Diceros bicornis minor: one gene and its partner. The protein of the gene in region 1 purifies or fractionates together with the protein of each later gene. This does not show direct contact. Links are inferred from orthologs where the notes say so. Each region holds a gene or a part of one and is shown on either strand. Other genes may lie near its edges.

The links. Proteins that work in one complex are often made in the same cells at the same time.
Region 2: the proteins of POLR3D (region 1) and POLR3H purify together in Homo sapiens (affinity purification with mass spectrometry; 6 studies listed by BioGRID and IntAct, counting the BioPlex papers as one, with this or other methods). This does not show direct contact. The link is inferred for Diceros bicornis minor from reciprocal best matches to the Homo sapiens genes POLR3D and POLR3H.

Annotation. Positions count from the first base shown.
Region 1 is NC_080750.1:71,627,145-71,634,315, forward strand, and holds the start of POLR3D (DNA-directed RNA polymerase III subunit RPC4), read right to left. Parts: upstream 3,023-7,171; 5' UTR 2,934-3,022; intron 2,711-2,933; 5' UTR 2,706-2,710; coding exon 2,541-2,705; intron 1,548-2,540; coding exon 1,504-1,547; intron 882-1,503; coding exon 730-881; intron 575-729; coding exon 450-574; intron 1-449. UniProt on the Homo sapiens protein: DNA-dependent RNA polymerase catalyzes the transcription of DNA into RNA using the four ribonucleoside triphosphates as substrates.
Region 2 is NC_080764.1:8,900,734-8,907,871, forward strand, and holds the start of POLR3H (DNA-directed RNA polymerase III subunit RPC8), read left to right. Parts: upstream 1-4,193; 5' UTR 4,194-4,205; intron 4,206-4,339; 5' UTR 4,340-4,359; coding exon 4,360-4,470; intron 4,471-6,546; exon of another isoform or gene 6,547-6,807; coding exon of another isoform or gene 6,808-6,831; coding exon 6,832-6,928; intron 6,929-7,138. Other genes in the region: CSDC2 (cold shock domain-containing protein C2), read right to left, coding at 3,906-4,193.

The sequences.
Region 1 (7,171 bases):
AAGGGGTCACACAGCCTGGCCAGCATGCACATGTACCTGGATTGCAGTCCACCTTAGCCCTTTTTTTGTGCGTGAGGAAGATCAGCCCTGAGCTGACATCTAATGCCAATCCTCCTCTTTTTGCCGAGGAAGATTGGCCCTGGGCTAACATCCGTGCCCATCTTCCTCTACTTTATATGTGACGCTGCCACAGCATGGCTTGACAAGCGGTGCATCGGTGTGCACCTGGGATCCGAACCTGTGAACCCTAGGGCTGCCAAAGCAAAGCGCACGCACTTAACTGCTGCACACCGGGCTGGCCCGCATCTTAGCCCTTTCTAACCGAAGCTTCCTGCTGCTTACCAGGCTTCCAGGACATCAGAGAGCTCTTCCTCCTGCGACCCTGGCTCCCTGAAGCCCTTTTTCACAGCCACAAAGAAGCCCCCTCCCCCCAGCCTGCTGGTACCTACATCATCCTTCTCCAGCATGCGCAAGATCTGTTTTGTTTCTTCATCCGTCTCCCTCTTCTCTTTTTTGATGTTGATGATATGAGAGGGCCCCATGTCCGACACATCCACTGTCTTATCCCAGTTCCCTGTGGGAGATCACCCAGTTCACCAGGGGTAAGGAAGAGGCCAACAGCAAGGAAAACTAAACTGGGAGCAGGGGAATTCTGCCCTTGCCCTTTTCTTGGACAGTCTGAACTGAAATCCACCATTCCTTCCTCCCAGAGCCCTGGCAGCTTTGTACCCTTTTTCTTCATCATTTCAGCTGGGCCCTGCTCAAAGATAGAGTGGGACTGGATCACTTCTGGGCGCCCCCGGCCCCGGCCATGCCCCTCTCGCTGTCGGTCTCTCTCTCTTTCACGCTTCTCCTTCTTGATGGTTACTTCTTCCTTGGGCCTGGAAAAGAGAATGGATTAAGAAAAACCACTCAGTTACCCTGCCTCAGAGAAGTGGTTTTACTCTCCCACACCACTGCACTTGAGTGGAGAGTTTATGCCCCAATAACTACATCATGAGAAGCAGAATCCAATCCTAAATCTAGCACCTGTTTCACTTCCTTGATGGGGCAGATCTCTTTCAGTTTGCTTTACTTTACCTTCTTGTTTGAGAATACATATTAGAACTATAACTCAAAAGTTGAATTATAGAGACTGTCCCCAAATGCGGATTTTTTGGTATTGACTGAAAGCAGGAAGGCTGTGATGCAAAAGAACTTAAGGGAAAACATGATACACCTTTGTCTAAACTAGTGGTTCTCAACTCTGGCTGTAAAAGATATTCACTTTGTCTCATTGCAACTAAGTTAAATCACAATTTATAGGGATGGACTCCCAGGCATCAGTATTTTTGTAAAGCTTGCACATTAGAATTATCTGGTAGCCTAGGTTGAAAATCACTAGTGATAAGAACTAAATACACAAATTTAAATTTCTGAGGCACATACCTAGTTATTTCCCCAAAGGCCCAAATTCAGAGCAAGTAAATAAAGGGTGAGTATTCAGAAGACCTGGCTACTTACTCCTCCTTGATCTTCCGACTGATGATATTCGGGGTGAAGGTTTTCTGAAAGTAAAATACAGGAATCACTGATTTGGTAAGTTCTGATTTCAAAGTATAGAGGAAAAGAAAAACTCCCAAAGGCATCTTCTATGGACCAAGACCACCATGGCTCTCTTCTGCACATTCCACACCGTTGCCAAAGATTTACAGAGATAGACATGTGCTTGAAAAGGAGGAACGTCATGTCATGGTGGCAATGGAGTTACACACAGAAGCAAGGGGCACCAAAACCCATTTAAACTAACAGCCTCAGCTTCTGTCCTCTGAAAGGAGAGCCCTCAGGACTTCTAAAAGCAAAGTAACTTATCTAGTCTCACCTCCTGTTTTCAAACTGCTATAGAGACCAGTCAGTATCATAGGCAAAGATCTCTAGCAGCAAGGCTCAAGTAGGGAAGACAGATCTGCCAGCACCCGCAGACAGGGTTAGACTGCCACCAGAATTCCCCAAGGCAGAGTTAAGCCTTTCAAAACTGGCTGAGCTACACTTCTGTCATTCCCTACCCCCTTTCAGGGCCACCCTTTACATCTACAGTCGTCAACATAACAGGAGAAGACACAGAGCCTCTAATGCCACGCCTAGGAATCACCATACTCTAGGACAGCGGTTGGCACACTGGGATCCATAGCGAATTCAGAACTCTCTAAATCTGCAGGCAAAATGTATTATGCCACCGAGGCTTACATAGGTTTTAATGGTGTCCAAAACACACACAAAAAGTAAATAAAGACTGCTCATGTTGCTTTTAAACTAATTAGGATTCTCTGCCCTTCAGCCATCTCCGAGAACCATGTCAACATCTTGTACCCAGTATCTAAACTTAAAGGTAGGTCAGGCTCCCAGAATTTGTAGGCGGCATCTGGCGACGAGATTCGTGGGGCCCAACACCACGCCTGGCACGCGGTAGGCCCTCCATGAAAGTCCATGAACATTATTTGGACCCCGGGGGCCTGGAACTCAAGGTAGTCGGGTTTCTTTTGAAAGGTGCCGTCGGGTACCTTTTTGACTCCCCCGAGGGTGAGGTCCCTGGAGCGGATGGAGGGAAGGCGGCCCGGGCTGAGGGGAGGCGCCGGCCGCCGCCCGATAAGCCCCCGGGCCCCCGAGAGGAGGGGTCGCGGCCCTCCCGGAGCGCTGGGCTCGCCCGCGGCGTTTCCTTCTGACATCTTGCCTGGAAGAGAGGGGGGAAAGGGGCCATGGAGTCACTCGAGGGGGCGGCCACGCGGACCCAGGGCGGAACCGCACCCACATCGCCTCCCGCCCCCCGTCAGTGCGTCCCTCCCGCAGCGTCCCTGCTCCTCCCCTCCCACGTGGCGAGACTCCTCGGACCTCCCCGGCCAGAGCGCTTGGCTCGCTCTCCCCAGGCCCCCGGCCAGAAAGCAGCAGGGACGCACCCGGGCTGCGGTCCGCACCACGCGCGCCCAGACTTCACCTCCAACGCGGCCCGCAGCCGGACCTCGGCCCCGGCGCCAGGCGGAAGTCTGCGTGGCAGGGTCCGAGCGCCGCCATCTTGCCGCCGGGCGGAAGTGAGGTCGGGGGGCGGGGCCGGGCCACAGTATTTATCCGGCGGCGCCGCGCGCCCCTCTGCCTTCTCTTCCCGGTTCTTCCCGGAGTCGGGAAAAGCTGGGTTGAGAGGGCGAAAAAAGAAGCGGGCGCTGTCTAGGTTCCGCCACGGTGCAGACCCCGGAGGGCTTGGCCCGGGCCCGGGGCCGGGGATGGAGGCGACCAGCTCAGAGTCTAGCGGCGTTTGCCCCCACCCCTCCGACGCAATGCGGGGATTCTCTGCGGCGGAGCCGCAGATCAGTGGGGTCGCGGCTCCGCGTGGGGCGAGAAGTGGGGGCGGAGAGCAAGACCCGACTCAGAGTAGGGGGAACTGGGCCGGGCCGAGCCGCGGCTGCGGGCTCGATGGTGACCTTGGAGTGGTCACCGCAGCTCTGGGCGGCGGCTTCGCCCTCGCTGGGGGTCTCTTCCCTGGGCCCTTGGGGGCGTCCTGCGGTCGGCTGTGGGCGCAGCGTCGGGTGCCCAGTGATACCCGCCCTGGGCTCATGACTGCAGGCCTTGGTGCGCTCTTGGTCCAAGCTTGGAACCAGAAAAACGAAGTTTGCTTTACTGCGAGAGGAATTTAAAGAACTTTTATCGTGACTCTGACATTTGTAATTTAACATAAAGAATGTTCTTTACTGTTAGTCTCCCCACCCTCCAAGCCATGTGAAAACCACGTTAACAACATGAGGGAAAGTTCGAGGGAAGGAAAACATTTCCGCTACAATTCCATCCACATAGAATACTACTGTTAAAACTTGTGTGATATACTGCAGTCCCCTTCACAGAGCTATCATATTGTACCGCAATTTTGAATTCCGTCCTTTCAAATAACATTTCTTTGTCGCTGCATCAAACGAGTGCGTAGTGCTCGAGTGGCTACGTCATGACACTTAGATTGTTTCTTTCCAGTTGTAGTGAACATCTGGTGCATTTAACGTTTTTTCTTCTTTTGGGTTATATTTCTAGGACAGATTTCCAGATTTGTGATAACTGGACAAAAGAAGACATACTTTTTTTTTAAGTAAATTTTTTATTTTGATATTATTATGGATACACACACAGTTGGGAGAAATAATGCAGAGATCCCAAATACCCTTTACTCAGTTTCTCCCAATAGTAACATATTGCAAAACTCTAGTGCAATATCACAGCCAGAATATTAACATTGATACAGTCAAAAAGCAAGACATTTCCATCACTACAAGGATCCCTCTAGATGACCTTTTACAGCCACACCTCCCTCTCACTCACCCCTGGCAACCACTAATCTGTTCTTCATTTTTATACTTTCCTATTTCAAAAGTGGAAATCATTCAAAAGTGGAATCATACAGTATACGACTTCTTGGGATTGCTTTTTTCAGTCAGCATAATTCCCTGGAGATGATCCAAGTTGTTGCGTGTATCCATAGTTTGTTCCTTTTATTGCTGAATATCCGTGGTTTGTTTATCAGTTCACCCTTGAAGGACGTCTGGGTTGTTTTCAGTTTGGGGCTGTTACTAATGAAGCCGCTATAAACATACATATACAGGTTTTTGTGTAAACATAAATTTTCATTTCTCTGGAATAAATGCCCGCAAGTGCAATTGTTGGGTCAAATGGTGGTTGTATGCTTAGTTTTATAAGAAACTGCCAAACTGTTTTCCACAGTAGCTGTACTGTTCTGAACATGCACTTTTATGGTTCTTCATCCATATTGCTGAGTTGCTTTCAGAAAGAGATGTGCTAACATGCATCAACACTAATAGATATGAATGGTTGTAGTAGATAAGAAGATATATGTGTGTGTATAATATTTTGCCACTTCCTTCTGGGTACTGGCTCTTAAAATTTTAAACGTTTTTGCCAATTTAATAATATATTAATATTTTGTTATGTTGGTTTCTGATCAGACTTTTTTCAACTTCTTTTCTCCATATTGGTTTTATGATAACCAAACCTAACCAAAGAAAAATCCTTCCTGTCCCCTATAGAGCTACACAGAGCAGCCCTTGGATCAAAGATGAAATTGCTTTGATTTCATTCTCTGGGCTTTGAAGTCCACCAGCCTTTTAGCAGCTCCTAGGTTTTCGCTTTGTTTTTTTTTTTTTTTACAAGATACTTATCCATTACAGAAAACCTGGAAAATTTTAAAAATCACCCAGAAGAAAATAAAATCATCTGTTATTATCCCATCAACTGTTGCATATACTTGAAGTTGTTTTTCTATGCATGTAGATTTTTGAAAATTAACGTATTTTACATATGGTTATATAATCTTGTTTTCTCTTAACACTATACTGTAAACATTTTTCTGAGTTATCAAGTATGCTTCTCAATTATGACTGTTAATGGCTATACAGTACTCCACATTGTTGTCTTGCACCATAATTTATTTAACCAGTTTCCTTCCCTCAATGCTTATTGGATTTCCACAGCATTTTTTACCCCAAAAGGACAAGAGAAGAGAAGACTTAAATGAAGTCTTCCACCTTTAACATTTTGGGGCTTACTTCCTAACGATTATTATAATTTCCCTTTAAGAGTATTCTCCAGCTTTGCCTCTAACTAGGCTGATATACTTTCAGCACCTTTCTGCTTTCTTTCTTTCTTTGCTCCTGTACCTCCCACTTCATTTTCTCCCGAAGAGTGGTCATTCTTTTATCTAGCCTCAAAAGAAACTTGTAAATCATTACTAGCTGAACTCCATGTAATCACATCTGTGATTCTAGCAGATCTTAATTTGTTATTAATAACGTTTTATTGCATTTTATTTTTACATATTTCATAGTAAAGACAATAGTTTCTTTATTTTCTGATAACATAATGAAACTAATAATCAAACTCTTAAGAACAAATATAGTTTTTGGGTCTAAATGCAGTTTGCAGAAGGTATAAACAGATTCTGTCAAAAGCCTGTTCCTGTGAATTCTTAATGGGCATTGGAAATACTAAATGAATAAGGAACCGTTTTGTAATATGTATCAGTAGAATAAATGGAATGTGTTATATGAGAATGCTACCTAAGTTCAAGCTATTACATGTTCTCTACGAGTAATTTGTCCTAATTTTTTTTGCATTGCTTTGCAGATCATTTGTTTGCTGGTTCCTCTTCATCTCCTTGACCTCTGAACATTGCAGAGCTCTGGGATTCAGTCTTCAGAACTCTTCCCTTTTTCCAGTTTCTTTGTTTCAAACCATGTGCTGTATGCTGATGACGACTCAATGCTTATCTCAGTCTGGACCTCTCTGAACTCCAGATGTGTACCTCTGCCTATCCCACACTTCCACTTGGATGTCTGCTAGGCGTCTCAAAGCTAGGTCTACACCTAAACTTTTGATCTTCCTCCTCAAACTACTCCAAAGTATTCCCCATCTCAGTAAACAGCAACGCCATCTCTCTAGGTGCTCAGGTCAAAATTTTGCAGCTGTTCTTGGCTCCTCTCTTTTTCTCATGGGATACATCTAATATGTCAGCTCTTCCAGATGTATCCAGACTCTCACCACTTCTCACCACCACTCTCACTCACATCCCACCTTGGTCCAGGCCACCATCATTTTTTGCTGTGAATATTATAATACCCTCCTAACTGGCCTGCCTGCTTCCACCTGGGCCCGCTCAGTCTAGTCTCAACATAGCATAATTAACATATTTCACATCAGGTCATGTCTCTGCTTTAAACTTCCCAGGGGCTTCTCATTTCAGAGTAAAAGCCAGAGGCTTCAGACTGGCCTACACAGACCTGCATAATCTGTCCCTCCACTCACTGACTCTCCGTCCTCGACTCCTACCATGTTCCCTTCACTCACTCTGCTCCAGCTGCACGGGTCCCCTTGCTGTTTCTGGAACAATCTGGCATGCTCCTGCTTGAGGGCCTCTGCACTTGCTACCTGGAATACTCTTCCTCCACGTAATTTTCATGGCTCTCTCCCTCCCTTCAGTCAACTTTTCTATCCTTTGAGTTGTATTTACATATGTCTTCTCCATAGGTTCTTCTGTATGCAGCTCTCTTAATAGAGTAAGGGTGGCAAATACTGAGTGAGTGGAGGGAAGCCTTTCTAGCATGGCAGCAGTTTGTGGATTCACTATGTCTCCGTCTTATCCCCA
Region 2 (7,138 bases), on another chromosome or scaffold:
TATTTACAAGCCCTGACCATCTGCCAGGCACAAGGCTAGGCCAAGACGATGTGGAGGGACATGACAGAGAAGTCCTGTGCTGTCGAGGAGCTTGCAGACTAAGTCTTTGTGTGTTTTTGTAAGCCACCTCACTTCCAGGGAATGATGCAGACAGTTAATAAAGAAGGCTGGTCCCTGTTTTTACTAATGAGGAAACCGAACATGCCAACAACTCCCTGTCGCAATCGTGTGAGCCGAATACTGTAAAAGAAGCCTGGGAACCCCAAACACTGAACTCTGCGATGCTGGCCCCCTCCCCCAGCCTGGCCCTCCTCCAGTTTCCCATCTCAGTGAAAGGCCCACCACCCAGCCAGTGGCTACAGCTCTCAGCGCTGGCTCCTTCCACTTCCATCCCCAGGTTATCCACCCTGTCACTGAGACCATCCCCTGGAGACCTCTGGACTCTGCCCAACTTTGCTCTCCACGCCTACCAGGAGAGTAGGCTACCAAGAGTAGGCTCGCTCAGGCCTACTCTTACAGGACCCACCCAATAACGTCCTTCTTGGTCTTCTTGTCTTCATCCCAGCCCCTTCCCGTCCACTGTCCATCCAGCTGATGTGTCACTGTGTCATTTCCCTGTTCTAACCTTGGAAGGCTTCCCTTTGCTGACCTCGGGCTAATGTTGTGGCACGACCCAGTGTTTAGGAGGATCATGGGCTCTGGAGCCTGAATCCCAGCTCTGCCACTAATTAGCTGTGTGACCTTGAATGACCTACTTAACCTCTCTTTGCTTTAAATGAGGTGAAATGAGATAATGAGATAAATGAGAATGATAAATGATAATGAGACAAATTAGCTAATGATAATAATAGCCCCCACCTTATATAGCTGTTGTGAGCATTAAAAGTTAATGAATATTATAATGATAAGGCCCTTAGGGCTGGCCTCACGGCTTAGCGGTTAAGTTCATGCGCTTCCATACTGGCAGCCCGGGTTCGGATCCCAGGTGTGCACCAACGCACCGCTTCTCCGGCCATGCTGAGGCCGCGTCCCACATACAGCAACTAGAAGGATGTGCAACTGTGACGTACAACTATCTACTGGGGCTTTGGGGAAAAAAAAAATTAAAAAGAAAAAAAGGCCCTTGGGATCTGGATCCTGCTTAGGTCTCCAGTTTCACCAATTCACATCTCCCCTATAAATCAGCTAAAATACTTTTGATTCCCTGAGAGTGTCAAATTCTCTCTCTCTCTCTGTCCTCTCCCCAACCCCTCTGAGCTGAAGCTGGGCCGGGACCAGTTCTTCTTCCCCATTGAATCTCTAACAGCTGGGCACATGGTATGTTGAATGAATGAATGAAAGAATGTGAAAATGAATGATTGAATTTGGGTTCTGATGGATGAGTAGGAGTTTTCCAGGTAAAAAAGTGTTCAAGGCAGGGCTATAAAAGGGCTTGCTCTATCTGAAGCTTGGTACCTGTGGGGTTACTGTAAATATTCAATAAGAACGTGATTACCATGGGCCGGACCCGTGGCTTAGCGGTTAAGTGCGCACGCTCTGCTGCTGGCGGCCCGGGTTCGGATCCCGGGCGCGCACCGACGCACCGCTTCTCCGGCCATGCTGAGGCTGCATCCCACATGCAGCAACTAGAAGGATGTGCAACTATGACATACGACTATCTACTGGGGCTTTGGGGAAATAAATAAACAAAAAAAAATCATTAAAAAAAAAAGAACGTGATTACCAGGGCCGGCCCAGTGGCGTAGTGGTTAAGTGTGCATGCTCCGCTTCAGTGGCCCGAGGGTTCGCGGGTTCGGATCCCGGGTGCGCACTGACCCACCGCTCATCAAGCCATGCTGTGGCGGCATCCTGTATAAGGTAGAGGAAGATGGGCACGGATGTTAGCCCAGGGCCGATCTTCTTCGGCAAAAAGAGGAGGCTTGGCATCGGATGTTAGCTCAGGGCTGATCTTCCTCACACTCACATGAAAAAGAACATGATTACCTTTTGACCTTGTTCCCAACACAGACACAGATGAAAAGAAGTTAATATTGTCAATTTGCTGTCTTCTTGTTTAACCTGAGGGGTAATTCAAGGGTCACAAGGGTTTTTGAGCTTCTTTTACAGAAGAAAGAGAATGGTTCAAAGATCACCAGATAACCAGCCCCCCAGCTGCCGTTGACGCCCAGAAGTCAGATTGCCCAGGGGCTTATCTGAAGTGAAAGAAACACGGATTACCCTTTTGTTTCTCTGAAACTCCTCCTCCCCAGCCCCCTGCTTTCTTCTCTTGTTAAGGCGTATTTGAGAGACTCTATACTCCTGTCTTCTCATTTTGGCCAATTCGAATAAACCTTTCTCCATCTCTAAGCACAAACGCCTCAGTGATCGGCTTACTGCGCACTGGGCACACAAATTTGAGATTAAGCAGTTTGGTATCACACACTCAGGGCTGGAGGCTCCCAGTGTCTGGAGGACAGAAGGAAAGTGAGGCTGGAGAGGAAGGCTGCGTTCAGTCTAGACCTTTCTGTGACAGTGTGGAGGTTGCTTGCAGGAGAGACTGAGACCAGGAGCTGGGGTGTGTGGATAAACTTCAGAGGAGCAATGAAGAAGCCCCAACCAGGGCAGTAGCAGCGGGAATGAAATGAAGAGGGAGGATTTGAGAGATATTTGAGAGAAATAATTTATATAATCTCCTAAACACTTTTACCAAATGCCTCCTAAGAATGATGTTAGGGGATTGTGGGAATAAAAAGCTGAAGTAGCACTTTCTCTTGTCATCAAGTAGCTGAAATCCTAGGAGAGAGAGATAAACGTATAAATAAAAATATAGATGCAGGGAAGGCCAAATTCAGTATTACTACAGCCAGTCTCATGGAGAGATCTCTGTAAAGAGATCAGCAAATTAAAGCACTATGCATTTCTGAGTGTCTCTGTCATCTACGCAAACCTCTCTTTTTTTTTTTTTTTTTTTTTTGTGAGGAAGATCTGCCCTGTGCTAACATCTGCCAATCCTCCTTTTTTTTGCTGAGGAAGACTGGCCCTGGGCTAACATCCGTGCCCATCTTCCAACACTTTATACAGGATGCTGCCACAGCATGGCTTGCTGCCACAGCATGGCTTGCCAAGTGGTGCGTTGCTGCGAGCTGGGGGTCTGAGCCGGCGAACCACGGGCTGCCGCATCTGAGCGCACGCATTTAACCGCTTGCGCCACCGGGCCGCCCCCCCCAACCTCTTTTTAAGTTTTCAAATTTTTATTTGGTTAAAACACACTACCTAGAGGCAGTGTGGTGTTGAGGTTTAGACAGGGCCCACTTCTATCACTTAGCAGCCCGTGATTTTGGACAAGTTATTGAATTCTCTCAGCCCATGTTAGCTATCATATGAAGATGAATGGTACTGGAACATGGGGGAGAGAGAACAAGATGGGGCTGGAGGCCTGGGTAGCGGCAGGGCAGATCCTGCAGGGCCTTGTGAGCTACCACAAAGGTTTTGGACTTTATTATTAGTTCAGTGAGAAGCCACCGAGGTTGTGTTTTGTGCCAATTTATTATCACTTTTCAATTGAGATGTAATCTGCCTACGATTAAATGTGAAGATCTTAAGTGTTGAATTCAATGAGGTTTCAAAATTGTATACAACTGCGTAAGAAAATACAAAATATTTCTATCACCGCAGAAAGGCCCCGCCTGCCCCTTTCCAGTCAATTCTGCCCGTCTCCAGAGTACTGAAAGGTCTAAGCCGATTGTGTTTGCGTTTTCAAAGGATCACTCTGGCTGCGGCGCACGGGACGGCCTGGACCAGCAACAAGAGAATGTCACAGGCCAGACGAGAGATGACCGGATTGCCCCGAGGTCGCCTAGCAACCAGAAAGTGTTGTCTGTGGGTTGACCGCTCCGCGAGGGCGGAAAGGGGAAGACCCGCCCCACCCAGGCCCCGCCCACCACGCTCCGCCAAGAGCCAGTAGGCAGCCCCGCCCCGCGCGAGGGGGCGGGCAGAGGTTTCTTATTGGTCGGTTCTCCGGAAGCGACGGGATTCGTAATCTCGGGGAAAGTCTCGCCGCTGCCGGCTGCGTGTGGGTGCGCGGTGCGTGGTGGCGGCGCGTGGCGAGTGGCCCTGTGGCGCGTGGCGGGCAGGGGCGGGGCCGCGCGTCCCCGCGCTGGACCGACGGGACCTCCCGTGAGCCTCAGTTTCCTCTCTTTGCAGTAGCGGAGCATGCTGCGCCCGGGGTATTCCACGCTCTACCGTGCAGCTGCGCTACCGGTCTGGGGTGGGGGGCCTCAGCGATTGGGACGGGACGGAGGGGGCTCGGGGATCCTCACCGCCCCAGGCCCCGGTGCGTGACTGACCCTCCCGTTCCCAGAGCGCCCAGCGCAGGCCGCGATGTTCGTCCTGGTGGAGATGGTGGACACCGTGCGGATCCCCCCGTGGCAGTTTGAGAGGAAGCTCAACGACTCCATTGCCGAGGAGCTGAACAAGAAGTTGGCCAACAAGGTACTGGGCCCACGGGGTAGCGGGCAGGCCCTGGCACGGGAGGGCCCAACGCTGCCCACCTGCCCGCTTCAGGCCTGGCCTTGGTCATGTCAAGCCTTGGCCTTGAGCAAGTAGCTTAACGTCTCAGAACACGGTTTCCTCACCCGTGCGTGGGATGGGGGTAATCCTTACCCACAAGGGTGTTGGAGGGAATCAAAAGAGAAATTGGGTTTGAAAAAGGCCGTTGTAACTGAGAGGTGCTAGATTCCACACTTAGAGATTACTTTGCAATCTTAGGCAAGTCATTTACCCCCTCTGGGCCTCAGTTTCCATTTGTAAAATGGAAATAAAAATTGCTGTCCAACCATGCCTTGTTTTTGTGAAGATGGAGGGTAGTTTAGAGTTAACCAATAGGAGATTTATCCATTCATTCCTGCAAAAAAATATTTGTGCACCCTCTATGTGCCAGGCCTGCACACCCTACTGCCAGCTCGTCAGAGGCCTTGCCACTGCCTTTTCTGTCGTCAGCCTCCCTCCTCAGTTATTCTGTGCCATGTTACTCTTTCCTTCTTTGCACTTATACACTCTATGTTCTTATTTGTTGATTTGGTTATTGTTTTTCTCTTTCCTCTGCATTTGTTTATTTGGTTATTGTTTTTCTCTTTCCTCTGCATGAGGGTAGAGACCTTTCCCCACAGTATTCCCCATATTTAGGCAGAGCCTGGCACAGAGTAGATGTTCCATGATTGTCTGTTGATCGAGTGAATGAAACAGACAAGATTCTGCCCTGTAGTGTGGTGGGAGAGCAGATGTGAATGAGAGGGTCCCACAGTTGAGCGCATGATGACAAGTAGAGGTAAATGCTGCAAAAGATAGGTATCCACAAGCCTGTGGAACGAAGAAACTTCACCTACGATGAGGGAGACAAGTGGCTTTGTTAGGGAGGTGGCACTTGTGCTTGAGCTGAGATCTGATGGAAAAACTAACTAGGGAATTCATTTTTGGGGGGTGGGAGGAGGCTGGGCAGAGAGAAGAGCTGTGCAAGCAGAGGAAACAGCATGTGCAAAGGCCCTGTGGCAGGAGGAACTATTACACCATCACAGCATGGTGGAGGCTGGTGTGCCCTGGGCAGAGGGAGAGAGGGGAGGGCAGGCTGGAAGGGTGGCAGGAGCCAGGCTGCACAGGGCCTGCAGGACTTCATGGGAGTATTGGTCTTCATCCATAGAACAGTGGGAGGTGATAGGCTGAGAAGGAGCCAGCAGGAGGAAGATTGGCTGTCTTTCTACAGGAGGCAGGTCCCTTCCATAGAAGCTGAGGTCACAGAAGGAGGGTGTCCAGATCTGGGGAGTTGTTGGTGGGGAGAACTCACGGAGTCCTTAGTGGATGGCTTCTGGTAACTTTGTGAGGTAGAAGGCGAGGGGTCTGTGGGGAGATGAAGTGTGAACATTGTGGAGAGAGAAGGTGTGAAGAGTCCAGGAAGGGAATGCAGTCCCTTTGGGGCACAGGTCCTTCAGTGACCTCTTCAGACAAGTCTTCCTGTATTTGAGTTACTGAGTCACTGAGAGGAGGCCACACAGAAGAGGCCTATGGTCCAGCCAGGCTCTGTGCCTCATCGCTGTGATGTCTGGCCAGGACTCCGAGTTCCCTGAGCTTCTTGCTAATCCTTGAATGGTCCTGCAAGGTCTCTGATTGGGAGGTGATGACACTGGTGGCAGATAAGCAGACACCAAGTGGACAGTTGTTTAGAGCACCGTGGGGTGGGGATGGGGCATGGGCTCTTCTCTGCCCAGTCTCAGGGCCTTGGCCATGTGTCACTCTTCCAGCCTCAGTCCCTGTGGCCACATCTGTGTGAGCAGAATGGAGATCAGCTGTGGTTCTGACGCTCACTGGGCTGTGGGCTCCAGTAGGGACTTGGGGACGTTGGAAAGTGTAGTTTAACCAGGCTTCCCCTACTACTGATCTGTACTAGTAACAGTAGTGATCCTTGATCGGTGATTATTATTTCTAGTACGTGAGCCAGGTACTGGGCTAGGGGCTTCACATCCGTTCTCCCTCTTTATTTAACAACCCTGCAGCCTGGTTTGTCCATTTTTGCAGATGAGGAAACTGAGGCTCAGAGAAGGACCTTGGAGGTCACACAGTAAGTGGTGGAGCTGGCACTGTGAGCTGGATCTGCCTTGTCAGAAAAGGCCCTGCTCTTCCCAGAGCTCTGCATCCTTCCAGGGTTTCTTCCCCGTGGTCACCTCAGGCAGTGTCCCAGCTCACTTCCCACTGTAGAACGGGGATAGCCAGACCTGCTATGTGGTGGTGACAGTCTCAGGAGAGACGCCTGGGAGCTGGGCCTCGGGGTCACTGTGTATGTGCGTACACGGACGCACACAGGTTGTGTACAACGTGGGACTCTGCATCTGTCTGTTCGACATCACCAAGCTGGAGGACGCCTACGTGTTCCCGGGGGACGGCGCGTCACACACCAAAGGTGGGTGCCCTCTCCTCCTGGGGCATTGGGTTTCTTGGGGCTCAGTTTTCGGTGGTGAGAGTCCTGGTCTGGGTGTTGGGAGACCTGAGGCCTAGTCCTAACTCTGCCAGGAATTGACTGGGTGATAATGGGCAGAATCCTCCCTTCTCTGGGCCTCGGTTTCCCATCTCTAAGAAACGGGAGGTGGACAAGGTGATTCTCAAGGCCCCT